Linked DNA regions of Xenopus tropicalis. The protein of the gene in region 7 binds, or shares a complex with, the protein of the main gene of each other region. Links are inferred from orthologs where the notes say so. Each region holds a gene or a part of one and is shown on either strand. Other genes may lie near its edges.

The links.
Region 1: thoc1 (region 7) and chtop share a complex: the UniProt entries of both Homo sapiens proteins name them as parts of the transcription/export (TREX) complex. The link is inferred for Xenopus tropicalis from reciprocal best matches to the Homo sapiens genes THOC1 and CHTOP.
Region 2: the proteins of thoc1 (region 7) and thoc5 are in contact, whole or in part, in a cryo-EM structure (PDB 7APK), measured with the Homo sapiens proteins. The link is inferred for Xenopus tropicalis from reciprocal best matches to the Homo sapiens genes THOC1 and THOC5. Residues at the interface, in NP_005122.2 of Homo sapiens: Glu60, Arg145, Arg146, Leu147, Ser148, Ser150, Gln151, Lys285, Met286, Leu289, Val296, Tyr297, Phe298, Leu302, Ser304, Leu307, Leu310, Gln311, Ser313, Asp314; in NP_001002877.1 of Homo sapiens: Tyr52, Arg113, Lys120, Asp124, His127, Leu128, Gln131, Asn132, Leu134, Tyr135, Glu136, Met138, His139, Thr145, Lys146, Glu149.
Region 3: thoc1 (region 7) and thoc3 share a complex: the UniProt entries of both Homo sapiens proteins name them as parts of the transcription/export (TREX) complex. The link is inferred for Xenopus tropicalis from reciprocal best matches to the Homo sapiens genes THOC1 and THOC3.
Region 4: the proteins of thoc1 (region 7) and thoc7 are in contact, whole or in part, in a cryo-EM structure (PDB 7APK), measured with the Homo sapiens proteins. The link is inferred for Xenopus tropicalis from reciprocal best matches to the Homo sapiens genes THOC1 and THOC7. Residues at the interface, in NP_005122.2 of Homo sapiens: Leu10, Arg14, Glu46, Gln53, Arg56, Glu60, Ile63, Ile64, Asp99, Asp102, Cys103, Leu104, Pro105, Arg146, Gln151; in NP_079351.2 of Homo sapiens: Tyr47, Gln51, Leu54, Ser55, Ser58, Gln59, Phe62, Gly65, Lys66, Leu69, Val70, Met73, Arg76, Glu77, Asn80, Ile84, Ile88.
Region 5: the proteins of thoc1 (region 7) and thoc2 are in contact, whole or in part, in a cryo-EM structure (PDB 7ZNL), measured with the Homo sapiens proteins. The link is inferred for Xenopus tropicalis from reciprocal best matches to the Homo sapiens genes THOC1 and THOC2. Residues at the interface, in NP_005122.2 of Homo sapiens: Asn134, Arg138, Asn141, Leu144, Arg145, Lys149, Thr153, Cys156, Gly157, Gln160, Leu161, Ala164, Arg165, Phe167, Gln242, Phe245, Arg246, Tyr297, Ala299, Lys300, Phe301, Arg319, His320, Leu323, Gln324, Ile327, Tyr331, Arg373, Phe374, Lys376; in NP_001075019.1 of Homo sapiens: Leu155, Phe156, Tyr157, Lys158, Gln160, Asn163, Leu164, Leu165, Arg166, Asn169, Glu170, Ala173, Lys174, Ile176, Ala177, Gly180, Gln181, Asn195, Lys197, Ser198, Leu199, Ile200, Gly201, Cys202, Phe203, Asn204, Leu205, Pro207, Asn208, Arg209.
Region 6: thoc1 (region 7) and sarnp share a complex: the UniProt entries of both Homo sapiens proteins name them as parts of the transcription/export (TREX) complex. The link is inferred for Xenopus tropicalis from reciprocal best matches to the Homo sapiens genes THOC1 and SARNP.

What each region holds. Positions count from the first base shown.
Region 1 is NC_030684.2:144,115,274-144,118,765, forward strand, and holds the end of chtop (chromatin target of PRMT1 protein), read left to right. Parts: intron 1-1,274; coding exon 1,275-1,458; intron 1,459-1,535; coding exon 1,536-1,661; intron 1,662-2,145; coding exon 2,146-2,342; 3' UTR 2,343-2,657; downstream 2,658-3,492. UniProt on the Homo sapiens protein: Plays an important role in the ligand-dependent activation of estrogen receptor target genes. May play a role in the silencing of fetal globin genes.
Region 2 is NC_030677.2:144,833,499-144,837,489, reverse strand, and holds part of thoc5 (THO complex subunit 5 homolog), read right to left. Parts: intron 3,837-3,991; coding exon 3,733-3,836; intron 3,361-3,732; coding exon 3,273-3,360; intron 1,399-3,272; coding exon 1,283-1,398; intron 590-1,282; coding exon 399-589; intron 160-398; coding exon 96-159; 3' UTR 1-95. UniProt on the Homo sapiens protein: Component of the THO subcomplex of the TREX complex which is thought to couple mRNA transcription, processing and nuclear export, and which specifically associates with spliced mRNA and not with unspliced pre-mRNA.
Region 3 is NC_030679.2:45,416,754-45,421,275, forward strand, and holds the start of thoc3 (THO complex subunit 3), read right to left. Parts: upstream 3,015-4,522; 5' UTR 3,000-3,014; coding exon 2,748-2,999; intron 80-2,747; coding exon 1-79. UniProt on the Homo sapiens protein: Component of the THO subcomplex of the TREX complex which is thought to couple mRNA transcription, processing and nuclear export, and which specifically associates with spliced mRNA and not with unspliced pre-mRNA.
Region 4 is NC_030680.2:145,033,194-145,037,710, forward strand, and holds the start of thoc7 (THO complex subunit 7 homolog), read left to right. Parts: upstream 1-1,511; 5' UTR 1,512-1,550; coding exon 1,551-1,569; exon of another isoform or gene 1,570-1,728; intron 1,729-3,388; coding exon 3,389-3,506; intron 3,507-4,517. Other genes in the region: atxn7 (ataxin-7), read right to left, coding at 1,352-1,511. UniProt on the Homo sapiens protein: Component of the THO subcomplex of the TREX complex which is thought to couple mRNA transcription, processing and nuclear export, and which specifically associates with spliced mRNA and not with unspliced pre-mRNA.
Region 5 is NC_030684.2:48,869,887-48,874,376, forward strand, and holds the start of thoc2 (THO complex subunit 2), read right to left. Parts: upstream 3,244-4,490; 5' UTR 2,987-3,243; coding exon 2,922-2,986; intron 1-2,921. UniProt on the Homo sapiens protein: Component of the THO subcomplex of the TREX complex which is thought to couple mRNA transcription, processing and nuclear export, and which specifically associates with spliced mRNA and not with unspliced pre-mRNA.
Region 6 is NC_030678.2:138,209,806-138,214,397, forward strand, and holds the start of sarnp (SAP domain-containing ribonucleoprotein), read right to left. Parts: upstream 2,880-4,592; 5' UTR 2,595-2,879; coding exon 2,562-2,594; intron 564-2,561; coding exon 464-563; coding exon of another isoform or gene 440-463; intron 1-439. UniProt on the Homo sapiens protein: Binds both single-stranded and double-stranded DNA with higher affinity for the single-stranded form. Specifically binds to scaffold/matrix attachment region DNA. Also binds single-stranded RNA. Enhances RNA unwinding activity of DDX39A.
Region 7 is NC_030682.2:108,273,343-108,277,333, reverse strand, and holds part of thoc1 (THO complex subunit 1), read right to left. Parts: intron 3,509-3,991; coding exon 3,442-3,508; intron 3,355-3,441; coding exon 3,304-3,354; intron 3,218-3,303; coding exon 3,147-3,217; intron 1-3,146. UniProt on the Homo sapiens protein: Component of the THO subcomplex of the TREX complex which is thought to couple mRNA transcription, processing and nuclear export, and which specifically associates with spliced mRNA and not with unspliced pre-mRNA.

The DNA.
Region 1 (3,492 bases), on a different chromosome or scaffold from region 7:
GCAGGGTGACTGTTACCCCAATGTTTCTATATATCTGTAACCTTGTTATGGGCTAAGGGGGCCCAGCCTGAAGGCCAGTTAGGGGGGGATTTGGGGTGAGTGCTTGTGCCCTGGGTACCCCTGGAACTATAGCGGGGTGACTGTTACCCCAATGTTTCTATATATCTGTAACCTTGTTATGGGCTAAGGGGGCCCAGCCTGAAGGCCAGTTAGGGGGGGATTTGGGGTGAGTGGGTATTTGTGCCCTGGGTACCCCTGGAACTATAGCGGGGTGACTGTTACCCCAATGTTTCTATATATCTGTAACCTTGTTATGGGCTAAGGGGGCCCAGCCTGAAGGCCAGTTAGGGGGGGATTTGGGGTGAGTGCTTATTTGTGCCCTGGGTACCCCTGGAACTATAGCGGGGTGACTGTTACCCCAATGTTTCTATATATCTGTAACCTTGTTATGGGCTAAGGGGGCCCAGCCTGAAGGCCAGTTAGGGGGATGTATAACTATGCTGAACACTAGTATCCTGTTGGCATCTGAACCTCACAGACTGAGGGCATGAAGTATATAAACACCAGGTTGGAAGATACAGTTGATTGTAGCTGAGGAGAGGCCCATGGTGAGGCAGGGGTACACCCAGGCATTACTAAGCGCCTGAGTAGCAAGCAGACAGAAGCAGTAGATGAGTGAGGGGAGAGGCAGAACTACATAAGACACCATTATTAATACACAACTTTTTTTGCAGGTACAAGTGTAACGATCCGCCACGGTTCACCCAACCAACCCAGACGGGTTCCGGGCCATTTGGGCTAGTATGCCAGAGTAACTGTAAAGTAATAAATATATTATATGAAGCTTTTGCCTCAGTGAGATACCAGGCTGATACAGTATCTGATGGTATCCCATGGCCTCTGTGTTGGCTGATCCTCTGATTAATACTAAGTGAGGCCTGACCTACATAGGCTCAGCGGAATCGTATAGATGCCTCCTTGTGTCCTGTTACAGTGAGTGGGGTGCCTTACACTGCCCCCCTCTATTGCTTGGCAATAGGGACTCCGGTGCTTGGACTGGAGGCTGTGTAACATTCTAGCACCAAAGCCTCCGTCCCTCGGCCAAACGGCCAGGAACATGACTGTGTAGGGTGGTGCTGTGGTGGCACCGCTATATCTCTGATTGGAAGAAACTGCCTCTATAGAGGCTGCTCATTGGCTCTCGGGCTTCTGTCTATGGATGTAGCTTATGTTACTGAATTTCCCTGCCTAACACTGTCCCTTTCTCTCGCTAGAGCCTAAAGCAGCGTCTCGGTAAGAGCAATATCCAGGCCAGGCTGGGAAGGCCGGTGGGAGGTCTCGTACGCGGAGCCATAGGGATGAGAGGAGCAGGAATGGGACTACGAGGCGCACAGAGAGGGATGATGCGTATTGGCCGCGGGGGGAGAGGAATGGCCAGGGGAGCCATGGCTATGAGGGGTTAGTTCTGGATTCCCTGCACCCTAACACTGCCGGGTTATGGAACGTGTAATCCTAACTTGTATCTTCTCCTTCAGGGCAGAACCTCCGAGGCCGAGGTGGAGTAGCCAGAATGGGTCTGAGGAGAGGGATGCGGGGCCGCGGGGGTCCCGGGAGGGGAATGATGAGAGGGGCTATGGGCCGAGGCGGTATGAGTGCAAGAGGTAAGTGACGTGATCCTGTACCTGTGTAGTACATCAACCTTAGGGCCTGGCGGTACCAGATAGATAATCTCCTTAGTATATAGCCCCTGGGTATCTGTGTGTCCCAGTCATCTGTATTGATAGATGTGTTGGGATACTCTCCTTAGTATATAGCCCCTGGGTATCTGTGTGTCCCAGTCATCTGTATTGATAGATGTGTTGGGATACTCTCCTTAGTATATAGCCCTGGGGGGGTCTGTGTGTCAGTCATTGGTATTGATAGATATTTTGGGATACTCTCCTTAGTATATAGCCCTGGGGTATCTGTGTGTCCCAGTCATATGTGTTGGGATACTCTCCTTAGTATATAACCCTGGGGTGTCTGTGGCCAATGATCAGTAGGCAGGACTGGTTGCACCTGAGATCCTTACTAAACTTTACCCCCACCTCCTGGCTGTGTGCCTTAAGTGGTAGCCCCTTACTGAGCCTCTTTCCCTCTGCGCAGGACGCGGGGGCATGACCAGAGGGAGGGGCTTTGTGCGCGGCAGAGGACGAGGGAGAGGAAGGGGCGTGGCCCGCCCAGCGATAACCAAGGAGCAGCTGGATAACCAATTGGACGCGTACATGTCAAAGACCAAGGGGCACCTGGATGCCGAGCTGGACGCCTACATGGCACAGGCAGACCCCGAGTCCAACGACTGAGCCGCCGAATGTTTTTATATATTTCTAAGGAACAGACTCTTACCAGCACGCGCACGACTGTGCCACGCCTCCTTTTGGTACCGCCCCCTGGTTTTAGCGTTCCTTTTACATTTTTCATACCTATTTGTTCTTTTGACTCTATTTTATTAACCATTGAATGTACGGAGGCGAGCGACAGGTTGGCACACTAAGTTCCCGCGGCCCCGTGCCGCCCCTTGGGTTCGATTGCCGTCAGTTTGTGCAAAGTTTACGTTGCCCCTCGGTATGCTGCTGCACTTGGATACCACTCATAAAGTTTTGTGCGTTTTGTAAAAACTTGTTTTCTGTGGGTTTGTATTGTGTGGTGCTGTTCCGGCCATTGTCGGGGTGCCTTTATTTATAAGGGGGCTGTATTCAGGATCGGACTGGGGGTGCAGGGCTTACAGAGGAGCAACGGGGCTTTATTCAGGGTCGGACTGGGGGTGCAGGGCTTTCAGAGGTGCAACAGGGCTTTATTCATGGTCGGACTGGGGGTGCAGGGCTTACAGAGGTGCAACAGGGCTTTATTCAGGGTCGGACTGGGGGTGCAGGGCTTACAGAGGAACAACGGGGCTTTATTCAGGGTCGGACTGGGGGTGCAGGGCTTTCAGAGGTGCAACAGGGCTTTATTCATGGTCGGACTGGGGGTGCAGGGCTTACAGAGGTGCAACAGGGCTTTATTCAGGGTCGGACTGGGGGTGCAGGGCTTACAGAGGAACAACGGGGCTTTATTCAGGGTCGGACTGGGGGTGCAGGGCTTTCAGAGGTGCAACGGGGCTTTATTCAGGGTCAGACTGGGGGTGCAAGGCTTACAGAGGTGCAACGGGGCTTTATTCAGGGTCGGACTGGGGGTGCAGGGCTTACAGAGGTGCAACGGGGCTTTATTCAGGGTCGGACTGGGGGTGCAGGGCTTACAGAGGAACAACGGGGCTTTATTCAGGGTCGGACTGGGGGTGCAGGGCTTACAGAGGAACAACGGGGCTTTATTCAGGGTCGGACTGGGGGTGCAGGGCTTTCAGAGGTGCAACGGGGCTTTATTCAGGGTCGGACTGGGGGTGCAGGGCTTACAGAGGCTTCTGCCCCAGGGGCCCTTGCCGTGTCGGAATCAGGTCTGGGCCAGCAGGACCTACCA
Region 2 (3,991 bases), on a different chromosome or scaffold from region 7:
AAAAAACTTTTATTCTATGACAATAAGCATTAGTAATAAATGGGCATAAGTCCAAGCAACAGTGGTGGCAGAGAAAATGCTGAAAGAGTTGGAACTCAGCGGTGACTAAAGAATCCTTGAGGGTAATTATACTTGAATGGCTTGGTACGACTCGGCCCCCTAAGACAGAAGGAAGGACAAAGAATAAAAATGTGTAGAACATGCAAAGTAGTCAGAAACAAAGCAAAGAAAAAGGCACCAATATAAAATTTAATAAAGGAATAACAAATAAAAACAATAAGGGGAAAAAATAAATGAATAAAAAAAAAACCTCAATGCATTTCTAAAGTCAGTTGTAGAGAATAACTAGCAAAAGGCAAAAAGGCAAAGGAATGTATATATAATGGGACATCCCTCACCTGAGTAGGCGCAGACAGATCTTTTCTGGAGGAAACTCATGAGGCCCTTCCACACTGTTGTCATGGCGTTCAGTTTCTAGGTAGACATCCAACAGCATGCAAAGCCTCTGAATTTGGTTTGTCAGCAGCTGGAATCCTGGAGGAGGGCCACACAGTTCCTTGAAGTAGACATTGACCTCACTCTCCATAACCTGCCAAAGTACAAATTATTTAAGGTGTTCATGAAATGTATGATCAAAATAGCTTGAAACAAACTAATTAATCTCAGACCTTACACTAATTTACTTTTTCATTTAAGAAAGCCTCACTAAATCATTAATCAGTGTATTAAATTTGAATTACCAAGGCATGTGACTGCATTATTTACCAGTGAACCTATGTCTAATATAACGTCTAACAATATAGTGTATGGACTCACTTCCTGAACCTATCAGAGCTAGGCTGCCTTTAATACAGCTGACATACTTAATCAAGAGGTTGTCGTTATGAAATCTAGAACAGCTAGCTGTGATTTCATTGTACTCTGATAATGGCCTTTATGTTTCCCCATGTTACTTATAGAAGAATTCTAATACTATTCTAAGACTATGTACTTAGCATATCTTTTTGTCCATGGTATTCCTCTGCCACTTCCTACCTCCCTTACACCTTTCCAAATGGTTATTAAGTTGAATTTCTGAAACTGTTTAAACTGTCTGTGGGTTGAAGCATACCCACAGGGGTGTAAAGCATAGTCAGGTCAAGCTGGGGGGTGCTTTAGCCTATAGCCTATGAAGATTTAAGTTATAGGAGCGAAGCTTCACAGTATTTTTGAGGTTTAGAATACAAACACTGAGAGGGCTGAAAACTCATGCATCGATAATAATTATAAAGTGTTTCCTTACCCTGATATTGTCATCATTACTGGATGAGCGTTCTCCTTTCCAGTTTAGGCAGAGGCTAAACACTGGAGGTACAGCACAATAACCAGGGTTCAGAACCACTACTCCATTGAGCTTAGCTATAGAGGATAACAAGCAAATGAAAAAAAGTGTTATATAAAAGACAATTGACTACTGGTTTATCTACAGCCGTTTTCACAGAAATTCTTGTTCCCCTTTGGAGCACAGATCTATGACTCGGGATACAAGTTTTTTCACCACTGCCTATGTACAGTGGAGGAAATAATTATTTGACCCCTCACTGATTTTGTAAGTTTGTCCAATGACAAAGAAATGAAAAGTCTCAGAACAGTATCATTTCAATGGTAGGTTTATTTTAACAGTGGCAGATAGCACATCAAAAGGAAAATCGAAAAAATAACTTTAAATAAAAGATAGCAACTGATTTGCATTTCATTGAGTGAAATAAGTTTTTGAACCCTCTAACAAAAAAAGACTTAATACTTAGTGGAAAAACCCTTGTTTGCAAGCACAGAGGTCAAACGTTTCTTGTAATTGATGACCAAGTTTGCGCACATTTTAGGAGGAATGTTGGTCCACTCCTCTTTGCAGATCATCTCTAAATCCCTAAGGTTTCGAGGCTGTCTCTGTGCAACTCTGAGCTTGAGCTCCCTCCATAGGTTTTCTATTGGATTAAGGTCCGGAGACTGACTAGGCCACTCCATGACCTTAATGTGCTTCTTCTTGAGCCACTCCTTTGTTGCCTTTGCTGTATGTTTTGGGTCATTGTCGTGCTGGAACACCCATCCACGACCCATTTTCAGTTTCCTGGCAGAGGGAAGGAGGTTGTCGTTCAGGATTTCACGATACATGGCTCCGTCCATTTTCCCGTTAATGCGAATAAGTTGTCCTGTGCCCTTAGCAGAAAAACACCCCCAAAGCAAAATGTTTCCACCCCCATGCTTGACGGTGGGGACGGTGTTTTGGGGGTCATAGGCAGCATTTTTCTTCCTCCAAACACAGCGAGTTGAGTTAATGCCAAAGAGCTCTATTTTGGTCTCATCAGACCACAGCACCTTCTCCCAGTCACTCACAGAATCATTCAGGTGTTCATTGGCAAACTTCAGACGGGCCTGCACATGTGCCTTCTTGAGCAGGGGGACCTTGCGAGCCCTGCAGGATTTTAATCCATTGCGGTGTAATGTGTTTCCAATGGTTTTCTTGGTGACTGTGGTCCCTGCTAATTTGAGGTCATTAACTAACTCCTCCCGTGTAGTTCTAGGATGCTTTTTCACCTTTCTCAGAATCATTGACACCCCACGAGGTGAGATCTTGCGTGGAGCCCCAGAGCGAGGTCGATTGATGGTCATTTTGTGCTCCTTCCATTTTCGAACAATCGCACCAACAGTTGTCACCTTCTCTCCCAGCTTCTTGCTAATGGTTTTGTAGCCCATTCCAGCCTTGTGCAGGTCTACAATTTTGTCTCTGACATCCTTGGACAGCTCTTTGGTCTTTCCCATGTTGGAGAGTTTGGAGTCTGCTTGATTGATTGATTCTGTGGACAGGTGTCTTTTATACAGGTGACTAGTTAAGACAGGTGTCCTTAATGAGGTTGACTAATTAAGTAGAAGTGTCTAACCACTCTGTGGGAGCCAGAACTCTTAATGGTTGGTAGGGGTTCAAAAACTTATTTCACTCAATGAAATGCAAATCAGTTGCTATCTTTTATTTAAAGTTATTTTTTCGATTTTCCTTTTGATGTGCTATCTGCCACTGTTAAAATAAACCTACCATTGAAATGATACTGTTCTGAGACTTTTCATTTCTTTGTCATTGGACAAACTTACAAAATCAGTGAGGGGTCAAATAATTATTTCCTCCACTGTACATGCTTTCATACAGCGCCTCTGAGTATTAAGATCATGCCACCATTTACTGCTGCATATTAATGTACATTTAGCATAAAACATCCCATTGATCAGCCCCATCATACCTGTTCCTCGCTCAATAAGCAGATAGAAATACTGATCCGTTTCCTTTGCTAGTCCACACTCTATAACATCTTTTGTATACGGCAGCGCCTGCAGTAGAAAATCCAGGTAACAATACTAATTATATCTATGTATGTACAATAGACAGAGTAATAGAGTAATAACAATCTATTGCTTTCATATACATTACTGCTTGGGGTTTCAGAAGGCAAACTCATATTAAATCATTTTTTTTAAAACTGCCCATATCTGTGCAGTTTAAAAGGGCCCAGTACTCTATATTTTTCTATACTGGCAGAAGCTGCAAAAAACGTAATGTATCAGAGAATCTAACTTTTAGTACCAGGTTCACCTCATATTTTTAGAGAACTTTATGGAGTAATTGCAATCCAATGCAAATCCCCAAAATGGCCATCTGCTCAAGAATCATGTCAGTTTATAAAGTGAAAAGATTTTACTCACTAGATAATCCTCATAGGTGATGACATTCCACTTTGTCAGTCGAGATATAACCTTGGCTGGGAAAAGAGTTTGGCACTCCAAAGATACAGGAATGCTACCATGTTCTGAAATACCAAAGAAATGCTGTCATTGGGATCTATTGCCTGTAAACACCTGCTGTGTACACTATTAAAGAAATCCTACATACACATCCAGTAAAATAATAGTTTTATACAATGTAAACCCCTCACAATCCCACCCATTCACCATTTAGTATACC
Region 3 (4,522 bases), on a different chromosome or scaffold from region 7:
CAAATAAGTCTGGATTGTAAGGATGCCAGCAGAGTTGGTCTACACTGTCCCCATGCCCACGGTAGTTATTTTCTTTGGTCTAAAAATAAAATAAACACAATCAGAATGAAAGTAGAAATGCAATGTGAGTAGTCCAATAGATAGTAGTCCTGATGTGCCTACTCAAGTTCCTTATTGTCTCTATTCTCCATTATATGTGGCATTGTTTGTGCATCCAGTTCAGCCCTAAGGGCTGTGACACACGAGGATCTCCCCAAAATGCCATTCCACCAGCTAGAATGTAAACCACTGGTGGGATGGCATACACGGTGGCGCGATTTGACAAAGTCACCTTGAGCGGAGTCCTTTGCCTGCAGCAGTGCACTGGGGAAAAAAAAAAAAGGCTGAGTTCTCCTTTCAAATTACCCATAATTCTGTAGGGTCTGAGACCAAGACCGGAGCATGCGCCTTAAAGAGATACTGACACCAGAAATGAAACCATTTTTACATCTGTCATAACATTGTCTTTGCATGCTATTTATAATTTTGCCATAAAAGTATTTGCCCAATGCTTTTACATTCCCTATCTGATCCCCCATGTTCCTCTATGAGGGGGCTGCCATATTTGTCCAGCAGGAGGCCGTTAGCATTAGAAGCTGTAACTGACAGGCTGAGAAGGGACAGTCAGGCTGGCAAAACAGTCAGGTTTTGGGATTTCAAGTAACAATTACTTACAAAAGCAGCCCTATCAGCAAAAAATGATCAACACAACCTATAGCCAACTTTTTATGTAGATTTAGATTTGAAAAAGTTGTTTTTTCGTGTCAGTATCACTTTCAAGTCAGCAGCAGGATTGGTCAGCGTGAGCAAGAATGAGTCAGCAACATGCAGGGTAAAGGGGACAGATTATGTTGGCGCATGCACAGAGACACTGCAGAACTCATAATCCATCATGTAATTCAGAAAAACATGGCGGCGTGGCTTAGCGATACAGACCACGCAACAAAAGAAGTGAATGTAAGTCAGGGAGGCACTTTTTACATAATATAACTTAGCGATTAGGTTCAGCTCAATATAATCTGTTAGTGGGAATAAGCCGGTAAGAAACACTTTCCTTGCTTTTAACATGCACAAATGGCAACACAACCACAGATGCCATGGAAATGCACAGAATTTAGAACTAAAAACTTGAAAAAGAGGCACAGATAAAATATTTTGAGATTTTGTTGCTCTGTAATCAGGTGACTGTTATTAGAGACATAAGGGTCTAAGTACATGTAAAGCTGGCTAAACAATTTGCTCATTTCATCAGAAAGCTAAATGAGTAAATCTCAGCCTAATAGCCTGACCCCACACTAGGCCAAATGAGGGTGATTAGAATGTTGACTTGGGTTGGGCAACGATCTGTTCATTCTGCAGGCCTACACAGACGTCTTGGGCAGAGGATCTTCACCCTTAATAAAAGTGATTTGACAGTGTGCAACCTTTTAGTAATTTGGGATTTTTTTATTTCTATTTATATAATGTCAACATATTCCATTACCCTTGATTAAATCAAATTTATGTCAGTCCCTGTCCCCAGTGGAGCTAACAATCTAAAAATCCCTATCACATTTACATACACTATGGTCTAATCTGCTGTAGGGCTGCCACCTTTTCTGGGAAAAAATACAGTCCTTCCTAATCTGCTGGTATGTGTTTGTAGTGGGGAGGAAAGGTAACTCAGTACCTAGAGAAAAGTAACTAAGGGACAGAGATAGCATATACACCCCTTGCATACAGTGACAGCACTTCCCTGTGGGTGCGGGGGACACTGAGTAAAGTAAATGTAGGTATATGCTACTCACTGTCTCTCAACTTCAGATTAAAGCAGACTGAGAAGTTATTAAAGCTTTGATTATGATGCAAAAGAAACCCCAGAAGCTGAACGTGGGAATGTACTGGGCTGGCAGCCCACCTCAATGCTGAGCAGCACCACAGAAAGGGGTGTGTGTGTGTGTATATATATATATATATATATATATATATATATATATATATATATAATTACATACATACACAGGATTTGCACATAGAAGTCACTGGGTCAAATGAAAATTAATTGCATCAGAGGTTTATTAATTCCAACGTTTCAGCTCCACACAGGAGCTTTCGTCAGGGAGCTGAAATGTTGGAATTAATAAACCTCTGATGCAATTAATTTTCATTTGACCCAGTGACTTCTATGTGCAAATCCTGTGTGTGCCGTCATCCGAGCCTGTATATTGTTTTTGCGCACAGGCACCCAGGTATCAACTTTTAACTAATGGTGTGCTGCTTACTAGCATCTTTTTTATATACATACATACATACAAGTCAACACGACAGCACCACACTCCGAAAGTTGCTACAATGTAGCTGCCCCTGGGCACGGAATACCAAATAGACACCAAATCAAACACAACCAGCACCAAGGGTCTTGTGGTTCAAACAAGTATTAGTGTATTATAATTGCATGTACAACCAACGTTTCGGTACCTTGAAAAAGGTCCCAAAAGGGACCGAAACGTCAGTTGTACATGCAATTATAATACACCAATATTTGTTTGAACCACAAGGCCCTTGGTGCTGGTTGTGTTTCAGATACTACCTGGGTGCCAGTGCAGTTTAACGGTATGCAGATAGGATAGAAATGATAGAAAAAAAAAAATATATATATATATATATACATATATATGCGACAGCGACCCCAACACACGCCTGGGTCTCTGTCTGGCGCTATTACTCACCAGCCGGTCCTTTTCCAGCACAAACACGCTCGCAGTCTTGTCAAAGGAGCCCGACGCCAGGCGCCTCCCATCACAGCTCCAAGCCACCGAATGAACCTTTGCACTGTGCGCCGAGAACTCTCGGGTCTTATTATTGGTTTTGAAATGCTCCTGTATCTCCTGCACAGACATGGTACTTAACCGGAAGCAACGGCCACAGCAGACTTCCGGCTCCGCGTTACCTTGGCGACACAGAGTCGACTTCCGGGTCATTACACAACCGGTTTAGAAGATACTTTTATCATGTGGAAGTTTTATTAAAAGTTGCAGCCCCCGTTTTTATAAACTGTAGTAGTGCCGTGTAACATTACTTTCTATTTAAATAAATACATAACCTACTTTTGTTGGTTGTTTTGCAAGTTTTAATTCAACTAGAGTGGAAAAACTCTGGTATCGATAAGCACTGACAAAAGATTATATTATTTTATAAAAAAAAAGATTATTATTTTATAAGCAACGCAGTTTCAGAACTATTAATGGTATAATATCCGCCTGCGGCTGCGGTGGATCCCAGGGCACAAGAGGACCGGGAGCGGTGGGTCTACTACATGGTAGTTTTGTTTGCTGCGGGCAGTGTATAGGTGGCAGGAGGCTGACGGAGGGAAGGGGCCCCACAGATGTTTGGGAAAACATCTCTCCTCCCAATACATTTTTTATCTATTTAGAATTTATATTGATCCAGGTGGCTGGAGACACGCTATTTACTAGGTCTCCAAACACTGCTCATTCTGATTTAACTAGCTCGTTATTTCGAGCTAGCCATTTCAGTAATGGGTGCTTAGTCTAAGAAAAGGTGGTTAAAGTGAGGTCCCCACGGTATGGTTATACATGGAAAGTATGACAGGTATTGGCAGTATCATAGATAATGTATGCATACCTCCCAACATTTGAAAAACAAAAAGAGGGGCAATTTTTGACCACGCCCACTTTTGTGACCACGCCCCAATTAACACACCCCATTTTTTTCTAAAAATACTCCTTTTATATAGTTGAAATGGTGGGATCAGATGCAAATGTGCTATACCCTCATACTGTACTACCTAAGGAAGCCCACAGAGCCCCCCATACACAGTGCCCTTCATACACAGAGCCTCCCCATATACAGTACCCCCCATACACAGTACCCTTTATATACAGTACCCTTTATACACAGAGCCCCTCCATACACAGTGCCCCCCATACACAGTGCCCCCACATACACAGTGCCCCCCATACACAGAGGCCCCCCAAACACAGAGGCCCCCCATACACAGTGCCCCTCCATACACAGAGGCCCCCATACACAGAGGCCCCCCAAACACAGAGCCCCCCATACACAGAGCCCCCCAAACACAGAGGCCCCCCCATACACAGAGGCCCCCCATACACAGAGGTCCCCCATACACAGAGTCCCCCATACACAGAGTCCCCCATACACAGAGCCCCCCAAACACAGAGGCCCCCCCAAACACAGAGGCCCCCCCATACACAGAGCCCCCCAAACACAGAGCCCCCATACGCGCTCCGACTCCTTGCGCTGCTTCTCTCCTGTGGCTCCTTCGCCGGCGGTCCCTGGCCCTTTTATAAGGTTGCGCCCCGTGTGTACATGTGACGTCATTACGCACGGGCGCAACCTTATAAAAGGGCCAGGGACCGCCGGAGAAGGAGCCACATGAGAGAAGCAGCGCAAGGAGTCGGAGCGCTCATCCCGCTGTCACGGATCCTTCTATGAATGTCCCGCATTTCCGGAAACCAAC
Region 4 (4,517 bases), on a different chromosome or scaffold from region 7:
TAATGGGGAGTACTAGTGCTAGTGTAAGTAATGGGGAGTACTAGTGCTAGTCTAAGTAATGGGGAGTACTAGTGCTAGTGTAAGTAATGGGGAGTACTAGTGCTTGTGTAAGTAATGGGGAGTACTAGTGCTAGTCTAAGTAATGGGGAGTACTAGTGCTAGTGTAAGTAATGGGGAGTACTAGTGCTAGTCTAAGTAATGGGGAGTACTAGTGCTAGTGTAAGTATTGGGGAGTACTAGTGCTAGTGTAAGTAATGGGGAGTACTAGTGCTAGTGTAAGTAATGGGGAGTACTAGTGCTAGTGTAAGTAATGGGGAGTACTAGTGCTAGTGTAAGTAATGGGGAGTACTAGTGCTAGTGTAAGTAATGGGGAGTACTAGTGCTAGTGTAAGTAATGGGGAGTACTAGTGCTAGTGTAAGTAATGGGGAGTACTAGTGCTAGTGTAAGTAATGGGGAGTACTAGTGCTAGTGTAAGTAATGGGGAGTACTAGTGCTAGTCTAAGTAATGGGGAGTACTAGTGCTAGTGTAAGTAATGGGGAGTACTAGTGCTAGTGTAAGTAATGGGGAGTACTAGTGCTAGTCTAAGTAATGGGGAGTACTAGTGCTAGTGTAAGTAATGGGGAGTACTAGTGCTAGTGTAAGTAATGGGGAGTACTAGTGCTAGTGTAAGTAATGGGGAGTACTAGTGCTAGTCTAAGTAATGGGGAGTACTAGTGCTAGTGTAAGTAATGGGGAGTACTAGTGCTAGTCTAAGTAATGGGGAGTACTAGTGCTAGTGTAAGTAATGGGGAGTACTAGTGCTAGTGTAAGTAATGGGGAGTACTAGTGCTAGTGTAAGTAATGGGGAGTACTAGTGCTAGTCTAAGTAATGGGGAGTACTAGTGCTAGTGTAAGTAATGGGGAGTACTAGTGCTAGTGTAAGTAATGGGGAGTACTAGTGCTAGTCTAAGTAATGGGGAGTACTAGTGCTAGTGTAAGTAATGGGGAGTACTAGTGCTAGTGTAAGTAATGGGGAGTACTAGTGCTAGTGTAAGTAATGGGGAGTACTAGTGCTAGTGTAAGTAATGGGGAGTACTAGTGCTAGTGTAAGTAATGGGGAGTACTAGTGCTAGTGTAAGTAATGGGGAGTACTAGTGCTAGTGTAAGTAATGGGGAGTACTAGTGCTAGTGTAAGTAATGGGGAGTACTAGAGCTAGTAATGGAGTGCCAGTACTGGTATAATGGCAGCAGGTCCCAGGGCAGCACGGATTGCAGTGCAGTTATGTAGAAATATAAATACTCGGGGCAATAATCATGTCAGGAATGAGGAAAGGGAATGGGGCTGTGACTCCCAGCTGAGTGGCACTTACCTGCGGGGCCCGGGGAGGCCTGCCTGGGGCTGTGTGTCCGGCTGTGGGCAGGAGGCGCTGGGCCGCCCGACACTGGGGGGAGCTTATAGGGAAGGCGAGGCGGTGACCGAGGCCTCCATGCTCCTGCCTGTCTCTCCGGCTGCTGCCGCCGCTGCTGCATTCTGGGAGTCTGACCTCACTGCTACTCGCCGCCACCGCCATGGGAGCCGTCACCGACGGTAAGTACAGCGCCCTCCTACCCCACCGCCTACACCCTCCGGCTCGGCCTCAGCTCTGCCTGCCCGGGTACCGACCGCGGGAAACCCACACCGGCCGGCTAGGCCGCAAAGCCCCGGGCTCGAGTTAGGGCTCTGGGGGAAGGAGAGCGGTACGGACTTCCGGCCCTACTCCCCGCTCAGCGTATCTTATATGGATAATATTATATATATATTTATGTAGTGCTACTTAGTCTCATATGGATAGTATATATATCGCTGCTGTATCTATCCTAGGGACAATATATATTTATACCGCCACTGTTATTCTGTATGAATGGATGTACTCTGTCTCTATCTTATGGGTATGATATATATATATAGTAATCTAATCAGATAATCTGTCTATATCCTAATGTACATGTACCGCTGTGTATATATCCTATGGATACTTTTATGTATACAGAGATTTCACCTACTCACTTTTTCACTGTTACTGGTGACTTAATGGGTCTCATTGACTGTTAGCTACACACACAGGGCACTCAAGTAGGGTTTTTATAAAGTTGCCTGGCATAAATTGTAGACAGACTGCTATATATTTTATATTATTTTGTATCAATAAACCAGTCACCATTGCCCAAGGTGCTAGGGACAATTTACAGCCACTATTATTTTGTATGAATTATATTTATGTACCTTTACTCTGTCTCTATCTTATAAATATGATAAATGTAGTAATCTAATCAGATAAGCTGTCTATATCACAATATAATATACATGTGCTGCTGTCAATAAATCCTATGGATACTTTAATGTATGTATACAGAGATTTCACCTACTCACTTTTCACTGTTACTGGTGACTTAAAATGGGGGTCTCATTTGCTGGCAGCTACACACAGGGCACTCAGGTGGGATTATTTTCTATTGTTGCCTTGCATAAATTGCAGATAGACTGCTATATATTGGCACAGGATATATGATATGACCATGTATCATTTTGTATCAAAAACCAGTGACCATTGCCCAAGGTAGTTTGTTTGGCCAGATAATCATAATAATATGTGAATCTGTGTATTTCTATATAATGATCAGCACCCTCACAAGTCTTTTTAATTTCATTTAGAGCTCATGTTATGATCAGTTTAGTCAGCCTTTCAGCCATGGTTTATAGCCCTCAAGATTCTGAAATTTTATGTCAGACTGAACACCACACAGTTCTTTTTATAAGATGTCAGTCTTATAAGGGAGATCAGTGATACTGTCAGGCATTTTTAAGACCACGTTCCACTTTACAAGAAATGGTAATATGGAATATTGTTTTTCCAGGCCACTCATGGGAAATATCATTATCTCCCTGATAGTATGGGGTTAAGTCTATTAAATATACCTGTTGGGTACCCTGCACCCTCTTGGTCTGCTATCTCTGTTGTTAGGTTTACCTTTGCCTCCTTAACTAAATGGTGATCAGCTTTCCATCTGCAAGAGTCCTCCATTAGATTTCACAGGCTGGCCAAACCACATATCCACACTTATTCATGAAATTTAGATATGTTTGATTTTTGCAGATGCAATGTTTCTAAGCAAAATTACTTTGACAATTCCTTTGAATTAAGTCCAGGTAACTTGGTACTTGGCACCAGTATGGCGCACATATACTGCCACCTGGGATGTCTCTCTCTGTGGATCTAGAATTCTTGGAGATGCTAGGCAGGGTATCCAAATCTATCCTGTTCTGTTACTGTATAACTGCTTGATGGTAACCTTCTCTTACACAGTGACCTGTCTTTGTGCAGCAGCAATAAAATCCACTATTTCCATTTCCTTCTGTTCTTTTCCAGATGAAGTTATCCGCAAAAGACTTTTGATTGATGGAGATGGTGCCGGAGACGACCGAAGAATTAACTTATTGGTAAAGAGTTTTCTGAAATGGTGCAACTCGGGTTCCCAAGAAGAAGGGTAAGAGGCACCAAGTGACTGTGGCAGTAGTTCCACAATGTTATTTTTATTAGCAGAACTGAAGCTTCAACCAGTTTCTAATCATGTCTGGGAAAAGTATGATTCCAAAATTATTGCTTGGTAAAATTCTTTGTGGAGATTTCATAATTATGGAAAATTCATTTTCCCTCTGGAAGAGAAAGCAGCAGAAAATATGTATAAATGTAAGGCCATCATTGCTGAGTAATCTGTGCTGAAACAGTCCAACAGGAAGGGCAGAATCCAGGTTACTCTGAAAGGAGATTTTGAACCCCATGCTTACCAAAGATTGCTATTGGTTTTTTTTAATTTTACTTCAGTGTCAACTGGGTTGCAAATGTGTTTATAAGATAACTGCTAAGTTGGAAACCAGATGTATATATGAAACTGAATGTTTATGGGACCACTAAAGCCATACTAAAACTCTACTGAAAGGTATGATAAGTGGAAAGGCTGCTGTCACTTTGCCACTTCCCAGCGCAATGAGGTAGCTCAGTGGATTGCAGATGGGTTGCCAAGTTTAACTAATTACATCTCTTGGTGACAAGGAAGGACGAAAACAGTTCTAATGTCCCCTAGGAAAGCACTAAAGTGAGTCTTGCTGGGCAGCCAGAAAAGGGTAGGGTTGTATTTGTCTTTTTTTGCTTCAGGTAAACATAAAGGTCTGGACTATTCAACTGAAAGCCCGTGGGTTAAATATGACCTGCTACATGGTCAAGAGCTCCATAGGCCACATCTGATGGCATCATTGTGAAATGAGATTGTATGCTATGGGCCAGTTAACAGCATGCAAGTGACAGGTCTGTTAATCACGTAACATACAAGGGATTGTGGGAATTGGAGAGGACAGCTGAATACTGCTACACTGTTTTAATAATATTTGTAGTTGGGAAAAGGACAGAAATTACTTCCAATAGCAATTAGATATACTGTTCAAATAATTTGCATGTACAGGGAAACCTTAATGGGGATTCAGGTTTGTTAGGCACCTCC
Region 5 (4,490 bases), on a different chromosome or scaffold from region 7:
GTGAGTCACTGACAGATTTTACCTGCTCTAAGTGGCTTATTACAGAATGAGTAAGCATTTTGCTATACATTAAAGACACACAACATGGTTCGAGAATTAGGAAACACAAAAATAAGCTATTTATTTAAGACCTTTTATATAACTATATAAAAGTATAAAACAAAATCACAATAATAAAGCCTATTTGTAAAAAAATAATTATGTATCCACTAAAACTTGGATACATGCTTATACCAACTACATTTCCCCTTTAAGGAAATAAAACCTTCTGAGTTCTAACAATGCCAAGAAAGCATTAAAGGATAAAGAAAGCTTAAAACAGTGGGGTGAGCACTAGTTTACTAGGCACCCCTTAATGTGCCATGGTGATAAACAAAACCACTACCCTGGGCTTTGGCTTCGGATTATTTGTTTTACAAGGGCACTGTTGGCATTGACAAAGAGGAATAAATTAATGTTCATGATATTAAAGAAACAGTAACCACAAGTGCCCCAAAGGTTATGAATGCCTGCTTAGATTTACTAAGTAAATAAAGGTGAAATAAGTCACCTAAATATTAATTCCCTAACTGGTTATGTCCTTTAAAAGAACCCCTGCATTGTCTCCATCATGTCATGTTAAATATTGCAATGCTACTGGGTAAGCCACATACTTTTCTGCTTTAATTAAGACCCACAAGTCATTGTCACCAAAGAGAAACGCTCATAGAGACTGCAGGCCGGATCTGCTTGGTAACACTGGCCATCTGTAGGATACAGCAGTAAAATGTGTTCAGAAAGCCTATGTTATCCCTGCTCAATTTACTGCTTAATTTTCTTGCAGTACTGTCCAACATCTGCACCCTGAGCAGCTCCAGGATAAAGGCCTTAGCGGGTTCATTTTAGGATGTAGAATGACAGTGCAGGTAAGTAATCACGCAGCGGTGCAGGAAAAAAACCTGATTTCACAATACTCTAACCGAAGGAATGACACGTGATCATGACAAGTGTTGATACTACTTCTATAGGTAATGAAGATATTTGCAGGGAAAGATCAAACACACCAAGTCCAAGAGAGTAGGGGTTGAGGGGGTCAACAAACGTTACTATACTAACTCAGTAGAATAATTTACTTATATAGCACCAGTGGTGCACCCTGTGCCTAACAATGTATAACTTACAATTGTGTAACAAAGATTATAGAATAAAAACTGGATCTTAAGAGCATACAATCTAAAGGGGTGAGACAATGTGTATACTGACAGAGAGCTCATCTAAACAAGAAGCAAATAAGACACCACATAATGTATTTCATACAATCAGTGCAGAGAAAAATACCAATATTTCCATTGGCCATTTCTGTTGAGAGGGAGACCATGAAAACTGGGGCAGGCAGATGCCTACACTATGGATACCATGTCTCTTAAGGGTTCTCAGCGCAGCGCCCAGCCTAAGGGTTCTCAGCGCAGCGCCCAGCCTAAGGGTTCTCAGCGCAGCGCCCAGCCTAAGGGTTCTCAGCGCAGCGCCCAGCCTAAGGGTTCTCAGCGCAGCGCCCAGCCTAAGGGTTCTCAGCGCAGCGCCCAGCCTAAGGGTTCTCAGCGCAGCGCCCAGCCTAAGGGTTCTCAGCGCAGCGCCCAGCCTAAGGGTTCTCAGCGCAGCGCCCAGCCTAAGGGTTCTCAGCGCAGCGCCCAGCCTAAGGGTTCTCAGCGCAGCGCCCAGCCTAAGGGTTCTCAGCGCAGCGCCCAGCCTAAGGGTTCTCAGCGCAGCGCCCAGCCTTAGGGTTCTCAGCGCAGCCCCCAGCCTTAGGGTTCTAAGCGCAGCCCCCAGCCTTAGGGTTCTAAGCGCAGCCCCCAGCCTTAGGGTTCTAAGCGCAGCCCCCAGCCTTAGGGTTCTAAGCGCAGCCCCCAGCCTTAGGGTTCTAAGCGCAGCCCCCAGCCTTAGGGTTCTAAGCGCAGCCCCCAGCCTTAGGGTTCTAAGCGCAGCCCCCAGCCTTAGGGTTCTAAGCGCAGCCCCCAGCCTTAGGGTTCTAAGCGCAGCCCCCAGCCTTAGGGTTCTAAGCGCAGCCCCCAGCCTTAGGGTTCTAAGCGCAGCCCCCAGCCTTAGGGTTCTAAGCGCAGCCCCCAGCCTTAGGGTTCTAAGCGCAGCCCCCAGCCTTAGGGTTCTAAGCGCAGCCCCCAGCCTTAGGGTTCTAAGCGCAGCCCCCAGCCTTAGGGTTCTAAGCGCAGCCCCCAGCCTTAGGGTTCTAAGCGCAGCCCCCAGCCTTAGGGTTCTAAGCGCAGCCCCCAGCCTTAGGGTTCTAAGCGCAGCCCCCAGCCTTAGGGTTCTAAGCGCAGCCCCCAGCCTTAGGGTTCTAAGCGCAGCCCCCAGCCTTAGGGTTCTAAGCGCAGCCCCCAGCCTTAGGGTTCTAAGCGCAGCCCCCAGCCTTAGGGTTCTAAGCGCAGCCCCCAGCCTTAGGGTTCTAAGCGCAGCCCCCAGCCTTAGGGTTCTAAGCGCAGCCCCCAGCCTTAGGGTTCTAAGCGCAGCCCCCAGCCTTAGGGTTCTAAGCGCAGCCCCCAGCCTTAGGGTTCTAAGCGCAGCCCCCAGCCTGTGTGCACAGCTAGCAGCAGGAGGACCGCCTTTCCCATTAACAGCAGGATGGCCTTGCAGTGAAGCCAATTAACACGTGCCCTTGCCTAACTGATTGCCTGTCGGGGCCCTGACTCACGGAGGGGCCAATCCCGCAGCCATAGTGCATGGAGGGATCTCGAACCTCTGGCTCCCAATGAACTATAACTTGCACCATTCTATAGCAGTGAGTAGCGGGAGCCGCCGCCTGCCCTTAAAGCCTGGCGGCCTCCCCTTGCTCGGGAAAAGGCGGGTATCCTAGGGCTCGGTTCCCCCATCCACGGCCGCCTTTCACCTCCCGCTCTGTCATCGCACTAAAACATATTTCCATTACTTACAAGTCATTTTTTCCGGATTTTTCCCAGTTCTTTATCCAATCAGCGGGTAGTAACGTGGCCGCCATCTTTCCCTGTACAGTCCCGATAGCCCGGATGTTTAGCAGCGCAGGTCAAAGTGGGAAGCTGGCGCCGCAAAGCATGCTGGGTAGTGGGAGGTGAGTCCCGGCGCTTCTCTCTTACAATAAGGAATGAGCTGGTGCTTTCGCTTCGCTCAGTATCGGGGAAGCAAACGCGTCCCTGTGTCTGTATAGTTTGCACTGAGGCTTCAGCGTTACCGGCTACATATAACTGTCTCTAACGTGTCGGTGACTGTTGTTTCTCACAAACCCAGGGGCGGGCCCTAGGACCGGTGTGGCTGCCTTACTGCTACTTTTTTTTTTTTTCTTAAAGTGGAACTCCACATAATTTTTTTGTTTTATAATAAAATGTTTTAAAGAAATGTAATTCCAAGTGGCTTTCCAATATGCATTCATTAAACATTTCCATTGGTTTTAAAGTTGAGTGTAAATGTAATTGCTATTAAAAGCAGTGTTTATACCTTTCTTTGCTCTGGGTCTGAGGGTAATAGGATTTTTAGCTTATCCACATCTGGAGGGCCACTAGTTGCTGATGCGCCTAATGTGCCCTAGTACTGTGATCCCCAAACAGTGGCTCCCCCACACCTTAGTGCCCAGGCTTTCCCCCCCAGCGATATACTTTGGCTCCTCCCCCCGTACGTACGCAACGCAGCGTACATACGCATACCCAATAAACGCACCGCACTTCCGCATTTAACATCTTAGACACGGTCCACCAGAAATCCATGGGGGATCGACTGGTGGACCGCGAATGCCATTTTGGCCACCCCTGCCTTAAATGTTGCTCTCAGTGGCCTCAAAGCAGGTGCTTATTTTTAAATTCCTGGTGTGGAGACAAGTTTTGGTTGGGTAAAAACCAGGTGTACTGCCAAACAGAGCCTACTGTAGGCTGCCAGTCCATATAGGGGCTATCAAATAGCCAATCACAGCTCTTATCTGGCAATCCTGGGAACTTTTTGAATGCTAGTGTTGCTCCCCATCTCTTACATTTAAATGTGGCTCATTTGTCCAAAATTTTGGGGACCCCTGCCCTAGTGGTTAATGACACCCAGCCTGCTCAGGGATTCCACAGACTTATTTTTATGATATAATTTTCTTCTAAATGTAATAATTCATCCTACTCTGCTGAAAATGTTGAATACCGTTGTTTAATAATACACAAAACAATAGCACGTTGGGGTTTTGCCTCTGATTCTTTTAGGATAGAAACTCAAATCATATATTTAAGATCAGTCAATGATTTCCATGTAATGGACCAGTTAGCTCAATATTCATAGGAGACATCATATCATCATGAAAGGTATCCTTTATGTTTATGTGATGTCTCCCATGAATATCAAGCTAACTGATCCATTACATGGAAATCATTGACTGATCTTAAATATATGATTTGAGTTTCTATCCTAAAAGAATCAGAGGCAAAAGCCCAATGTACCATTGTTTTGTGTTTATTCACGTTCCCATTATAAAACAATGGCATTCAACATTTGCC
Region 6 (4,592 bases), on a different chromosome or scaffold from region 7:
TTTAGCCTCTTACAAAAAAAGTCATTTTAAAAATATAGTTTGTGACACTATTGAAGCAATCTATGTAAATAAATATGATAATTATGGTTCACTTATACTTTCTTAGCTTCAATTTTTAATTGCATATATATATCTGGATATTCCTGTTGGAAGCCAGTCCCTGGCTTCTGCAAAAGGTGTAAACTATATGTGTAGACTTCACATTTCTCTGCAGAGGTATTGCATAATACTCCTGAACTACAAACAAAGCATTCCGTCTAATTTAAATCATGAATAACAGTTTAGTTTAGAGACATAATCTTATGTCCCTGAAGCATGGTTAGATGAAAATTACAGAGGAGGAAAAAGATAGGCCCCACAGAGTTTGTTAGTGTGCTTATGCCATATAAATGCCATTAAAAACAAACATATTTAAAAAAAAACAAAAAAAAAAACAAACAATTTAACAGAAGTTCTTCCGAACCATGTTCCTCTATATAGGCTTGCAGACGGCTGATAAGATCGCTCTTGTTCCCCTTCACCTCTAAGCCACGAGCAAGGCACTCCTGCTTTAGTTCAGCCAACTAAAAAAAAAAAAAAAAAAAAAAAAAAAAAAAAAAAGGGAAAGAAATTATTGCATAAACTAACTTTCCAGGAACAATTATACTTGTGCCAAGAATTCAATATGTTGTTGCAAGAAATAAAATTGGTGAAATTCTCATTAGTAGAGAGAACGACTCCAGAGTGCTTCTGGATTACAGTATGTACAATCTAAGAAAGGGTTGTAATACATTTTTCCCTAATATTCTGAGAATACATTCTGAAAGTACTTTAAAGTGTGAGTAAAACAAAACTAGGGCTCACTAACATAAGTGCTAAATTTTACAAGCAACCAATCAACATTAGTTTTGACCAGTCTACTACTACTAGTGAAATAATGAAAGCAAAACCCTGATTGGTTGCTATGGGCAACTGTTCTGTAGCAATTTAGTGCCTCTCTTAGTGAAGTACATAGGAGGCATGTATGAGGGCGATAGGTCCTCTGTTACCTCACCATAACTGCAAATAAAGCTGGCCTTGTTTCGAATACAACCATGCAAAATACAATATTATAGTCATATGAAGTTACAAGCATAAGCGCAAGTAATTTCTTGCGCACTCTGTCTTAGCTATTTTTGTAAATTCAGATACAATAATCTGTAAAGTGTTAGTAGGTATTTATGCCGTTTAATTTATAATAACTGTACCCCTGTTTAGGTTTCCCCCTTAAAAAGCACTGTATATTTGTGGTGCTACTTAAATAAATCCCAGATAAATCTTGCATCACCACTAAAAAGCTGGATTTATAGGCATGATTCCAGAACTGTTGACAGTGTTTGCCCGTAATCCTATGGTAGATAATCATTTCAGTCATTTCTTGGGCCACTTTAGCAGTTTTAAAGTTAGTTGTTTTAGCCTTAACAAGATTAGTTTAGTTTAAAGGGTTCTTCCACTTAAACACTTTCTGCGCAATAAAGCAACTTTCCAATATACATGAACTTAAATTATTTTAATAATGTCAGGAATCCAAGCCAGGATTGCAGAAAATGTAATCAGATTTGTATTGTTAGTGCTGCTCAATCAGCATTTTTTCTTTAGGTTGAGAAAAGTGGATCTGCTCTCTTATGCAACTCCTTGTATCTGCACCGAAAAGTACAAATTTCTGCCTGCTTTCCCATTTTTCAGGTCAACCTCCACTCCGCTCCATATACCTGCACTTATTCCTATGGTGTGAACTCTTCATCTACTTCGGCTTCCTCTGTCTTCTCTTGGTTCTGGTCCAGGCAGGTGCATGTGCAGAACTTATACACAAAAAGACTGTTTTCCCACTCAACTGCACATGTACCTGCCTAGGCCCGAGAAAAGAAGACAGAAGATTATTGTGGCAAATATGATCCTACCCTGGGCTGGCGCAGTTTCTAGTTAACAGGAACAACGGGCCGGGGTGCCTAACAGTTTTGCACCCCCAGCAATTATAAATTAAGTTCTCCTCTAATGATAAAGAAACTCAATAACACTTGACACATGTAGAGAATCGGTGAATATCCTGAGGGAAAAAAGTTCTGTTGAAACACACAGATGTACCCATTGGTTTGAATTGATCTCACAAAGTTACAATTATTTCTGTAATTCACAAAATACAATTATTTTTGTTTTAAAATTCCAGAAAACAAACTAGAATGGGCACATTTCCTAAAAAAACCCAAAGAATCTAGCTGGGTGAGCTGGGTGGGCTGGGTTACAAACGAGAAATAAATCAGAGCAATTAGCAGCATCTAGCACTGCCATGGAATCACTAGGCCACAAATAAGTTGACAGGATTCTATTACAGGGATTTTATATCAATAGATTCATTTAACCCAATGCTGAAGTCCAACTACCAGCACTGCCTGCGGAAAGCCATTACAAACACTGGATGTAGACAGAACCTATACGGATAGAAGAACCCTGCGCTATTCATATAAAAGGTGCAGTGCCACAAAACGATTTCCAGTTATAACACGAGGCCCCGATAGAAAGAACCCACTCCCTGCGTGGAATACCTTCAGCTTGTGAAGCTCCACAGTTTCCGCCATCTTTCAATCGCCAACTTGCCTTGCGCAGCACAACTCAGGTGCGACACGCGGATTGGTTCGTCGCCCAGTTGACGTCAGTGGAAAAATACGCGCGGCAATTTGGATCGACAGAGGTGGAAGTAACCAACAAATTTCTATTTATCAACTTCCTGTGAGCTCTCTGCCGCCTTCCAGAAAGCAGAACCTCGTCCTTCCAAAAGAAATTAAACAATACAGCCCTATAAGTGAGAGGAGAGACCTTTGGCCTTTACGGGGTCAAGCCGCCACTGCAGAGGTTGGGTCAGTTTGGACCAATCCGCTTTAGAGCTGTGAACAATCTTTCAGCCAATCACCGGGTCTATTTATGCAGCAGACTGAGTGACGCTTTGGGTAACTACTGCCATGTTATTGGAGGTCGGAAGTCAGGAGAAAGCTCACTTCCGTATATCTGCCATCTTAGTTGGGGATAGGAGATAGAAACGCAACTTGAGCACCACCCTCTTACAGCTTCCTCCCGGAAGTGCTTTGTGTTTCCTGGCTACCGGTGACAGGCGGTGGTCTAACTACAGGTGAGAGGGTTAAGCATTATTTATTATTATGCAGGGTGGTTATACTGTGTTGTGTAAAGGCGGTGCTTGACCGGTGGCAGTTCAGAAGCTAGAGGGGTGTATGCTGAACGTGCCTGTCTGTGCGTGACGGCGATCATGGATTTTTGACACCTTATTTTACGTTGCCATTGAGATAAAAGAGGAATTAGGTTTTTTTTTTTAAAAAATAAATCCTTAATTGGGTTATTATCTCTCTCATGACATGGGGTTACTTGCCATCTATGGCACCTGATGGGTAATAAAATACTGCGTTCAAAACATGTTTGGTTGTACCATCACATGCCTTTGTGCGGCTTCTCACAGACTCTTCTGCTTCTTTAAACAAACTATATTGTATGCATAGAAACTGCATGCATCAAGCCCATTCCCCAGCACCACATACACTCAAGAATTCCCGGTGGCGTCCCATAATAAGGGTCTGTAGTTCTTATTGAGCGTCTCATCCAGCCTTGCACTATTAGCTCCACTGAATTATGTAAACATCTGAGAGATTCATTAGCAGTAATTGTTTCCCTGCTTTCATTTCAATGGACAACAATAATGTATGGTTATAGACAAGGACATTTAAGAGTGTATTTGATACCTTTTTATTAACACACTGTCATTAGATCACAAAAAAGTTCATGGAATAACTTTAACAGTTTACTATGGGTAAAAATATTTTTTTAGTTCCAGTGTTGCTCTGTGTGCTGCTTGGTTCGTGGGTTAAATAATTAATACTAATTCAAAAAGAAGGATCCTCAACAGCCAGTCAAAAAGAGCCAAAGTAGATAGGACACAGCCCCCAGATTTAAAGAACAAGCCAAACAGCAGAATCCATACGGATCCCAAACTTCACACAAAAATTAAAAGAAAAAAATTTGCATTTTTATTTAAACATCCATATTAAAAACATAAGATACCCTGGCTTTTTAAAGGGTTGGTATGATAATCCAGCCTGCTCCCATCTGAATTTTATTAAACAATAGGGTTTATTTTAGATTGCATGGCACAGTGCTGTGTGCAAAAAAAAACTTGTGTCAAGTGCTCATTTGGCAGTTGAGTCTGGGTTGCTGCAAGTGCCTGGGCACACAAATCAGCTCTTGAATTAAGTGTTGCTGACATCTTTCCTTAAAGGGACACTGTTATGATTTTTATGGTATACTTTTTATTTCTAAATTACACTGTTTACATAGCAAATAATTCACTCTACCATTTAAAATGTCGTTCTTGAACCAACAAATGTATTTTTTAGTTGTAATATTGGTGTGTAGGCGCCATCTCAGAGCATTGTGCCTGAGTCTGAGCTTTCATAAGGAGCCAGCGCTACATATTAGAACTGCTTTCAGCTAACCTATTGTTTCTCCTACTCCCATGTAACTGGAGGAGTCCCAAGCCGGACTTGGATTTCTTACTATTGAGTGCTATTCTG
Region 7 (3,991 bases):
CCTGAGGTGTGAACAGGGGAACAATGGGGGTGATTACAGCCTGAGCATAAGGTGTGAACACTGCAGGGGTTTAACAGGTGTGAACAACACAGGGGATTACATATTTAAACAATACAGCCCGATTACAGGCTGAATCTGAGGTGGGAACCATGCAGGGGGGGCAGTTAATCTCAGTACTGATACCATTTAAAGCTTACACAAGAGTAAGCCATCAAAGCAGCCAGACAGGTGGGGGGCCACACAGAGGGGGGTCGCGGGCCGCCAGTTGGACAGCACTGATCTAGAGGGTGTCCTCAGCCTGTCAGCAATGGGCAGGTCAAAGAAAGTTTGCACTCCACTGAAGTTAACAGCACTTAATAGTGCAATGAAGCATATACGATTTTTTCGCACTTTAAAAAGCACAATACGAAAAAATCGTATTTAATACAATTTTTTTGTATCGTGCTTTTTAAAGGTACGAAAATCAAACTTTGATAAATCTGCCCCATAGAGTCTGACCCTGGGGGAAGGTATTTGATTTGTAAGCTGAATAATGCAATCTTTATGCCCCTATCTCATCCCAAATTAATTTCTTAACCCCTCTTTTTAATAAAATTACCAAACAAAAGTGTGTTTACTGTAATAGGTGGAGATTTTAATTTAATATTAGATCTTAATTTAGATACTACCTCTACTTCTAATAAATTCCAACCTCAAAAATCTACAAAGGGTAGAATAAAAGAAAAAGTTACCGGTTTCACTAAGATTAAACTCCATCATAATTTATATGTTTGGAGGATTTTTAATCCTAAAACTAGGGATTATACATTTTACTTTCATCCTCACGATATGTATTCAAAAATGATTTTTTTTTACGTAGATAAAATACTGCTCCAAGGCTTAAAGAAAGCTGCCATAGGTACTATAACGTGGTCAGATCACGCTCAGAAATATTAATGAACCCACAAAAAATATTCCAACAAGTATATGAAGACTAAATGAGGCTTTATTGAGTAATTTAAAAGAGAGTTTTATTCTAAATGTCTACAAGAATATTTTGAACTTAATTCATCTAATGATACTTCTATGAATACTCAATGGTGTGCCCACAAAAGCTAAAGTTAAATCTAAAATAAGAGGGATAATGGTAAAATTATATCTAACCCCTTAGATATTGCAGAAGCGTTTGCTCAATATTACCTACCTATAATTTAAAAGAGGATAATACAATGATTCAACCCAATCCTCAAAGCATAGATTAATTTCTGATATTTGAACTGCAGATCAAATAAATATCTTGAATTCACGATTTCTCAACAAGAAGTAGAAGATGCCATAAAAACTTCTCCTTTAAAAAAAAAGCCTGGACCAGATGGTTTACCAGTATTATATTACAAGTTATTTGCAAAATTACTAGTCCTAAAATGAACAGAATTGTTTAATACTATACTATCAGGAGGCCATTTTCCGGATGAAATACTACAGGCTACAATAACGGATAGACCAAAAGAGGGGAAAGACCCAACAAAGATACCAAAGAGACCAATTTCTTTACTAAACTGTGATTTAAAATTTTATTCAAAATTTTTTTCAAATGGGTTCCAAGATATTCTAACTGAGGTCTTGAATAGTGACCAAGTGGGTTTTATTAAAGGCAGGCAATCCACTGATAATACTAGATTTATAGATTTAATACATACAATTCACAAGTCTCTAAAGATAATCATTTATAGATTTAATACATACAATACGAATCGGCTCTAAAAATCATCATATAGGTTTATACACTATGTCTATGACATTATTATAGTACTATCTAATCCTAAAGAGAGATTATCCAAATTTAAACAAATATTACAAGAATTTGGAGACATTTCTTACTATAAAATAAATGAGAATAAATCTCAAGCTATGATGTTTAACATACCACTTAAAGATCAATCTCCATTAAAACGTCAGTTTAAATTTCACTGGCGGAAAGATTATACATTTTACCTGGGTATAAAATTAACAAAACATCCAGAAAAATTGGGCCATTGATTCAAGCTTTTAAAGATTAAATAATTACATAGAAGCCCTTATTTATTTCTTGGATGGGAAGAATTGCTGCTATAAAAATGCTGTTGTTACCTAAACTACTATATTTGTTTTGTACTATCCTTATTTCAATCCCCTCCAGTTTGTTTTTTTTTGTAAGATTACTAATGTGTTTTACCAATTTATCTGGAATAAGAAAGAGTATCCTAGCGTATCCAAATCTATTCTTCAAAGAAATAAAGCAGGTCTTGGAGCTCCAGATCTAAAGAAATACTTCAAAGCCAATATACAAACTATAGACTTATTTATCCATACAGTCACAAAAAAAATGGGTAGAAATTGAAACTACTCTTCTGAAACTATTTTCATGGGATAAACTACTATGGTCAGATGGTAAAGGTGTTAAGAATAATTACATAGATTTGCCTCCTACATTGAAAGTTGCAGTCAAAATTTGAGAAAAAGCATAATTGATCCATTATACTCTCCTTTTCCTTCTCCATTGGCACCAATTTCTATTTTGGAACCCATTCTGAAAACGGGTCTTAAAAGGTTGGAGTAAAGATTTTTTAAAAGAGTATTAACTTGTCGGAGGTGTAACAATGAAATAGGAGAAATGTTGCGCATTATGGTGGTCCTGTTCTACTATCCAATCCCTCTGGACTTCAGCATTTTCTCTAATATCGAATTTCATCTCACAAGATTTTGTTTTATCTCCGGAAGTGGTGCTATTTAACATTTATGACAAAATTCCTAACAAAGCTCTGGAAATAGTAATTTTTCAATTATCAAATACAGTCAGACTTTTAATTGCTAGAAATTGGAAAAAACAGGAGGTTCCAAACATTTCCCAGCTGATGAGAGAAATTAGCAGTAATGTAGTATATGAAATGGCAATTCCAATAAATATTTAGGAAAGAACATTCATACAGGAAGCTCAAAAAAATATGGAAGAATATTTCTGGTGTCAATACTATAACTATAGTTATGTGTGTGACATTTCTATTTGTTAAGTTACAATGTTTTACTTTTCTCTTTGCAGATACTGATAAAGTAAGCCGTGTAAGTATTATGGTTTACATGTATTGTAAAAACTTATAAAAAGTTGGAAAATAAAAAAAATGCCTTACCTTTCCTTTACAAAACTTGGACAGCCTTCGTTTTTCCATGCGTTCCAGTTTTCTTCAGTATTCAGTATATGCTGAAACAACATTTCTGATTCCGTTAGATCAGTTATAATACTGTATAGCTATTCACCAGATCAGAAGGCTGAAATTATAATCTTACCTCCACTGTTTTAGAAAACTTTTCCCCAACTGGAGGTGTTTCAGAAAGCAGCTGTATGATGGGAGAGAAATGAATCACATCTGGTTTTCAGGTAGGAAATGACTCATAAAAACAGTAATACTCTATAGTTACACACACCTGATGGACAAGCTTGGTGGTGTCCTCAATCCAAAGAGACTGTTCATCTAGAAGAATATAATTGGAACTGAAATACAAAATAGACAATGTAAGAAAAGCTCTATACCTTAAATCTATACACTATCAAGCCTATTCTCAGCGAGCCCTTAATACTTTCCCTACTTATTATAAACCTTAGATACAAATACATTGTTACTGTTCCATGTTTGATTCAGGTTTAGAATAAGAGCCACTAAGATTAAAGTGCACCTGCCATTGTGTGAAGACCACTCCCAAGCCAAAGTTGAGCCTTTTGGCAACACAGACCATCCTACACAGCAATGTGATTTAGAGTTGCATTTGGCAGCGAGATACTTTATAAATTTAAAGAGGGATAATGCATTCACTGTGGGTATTCTTATATACAATTTAGAAATGGCCACGCAACACACAATCTGAAAATGTCACGTAAGAGGGTCTTTAGGCAGATGAGGTACAGTATGTGCAACGCAACAGACCTTGAACAGCACTTTTTGGCATAAGATTATGCTCTTTTGCATTACTATGTACT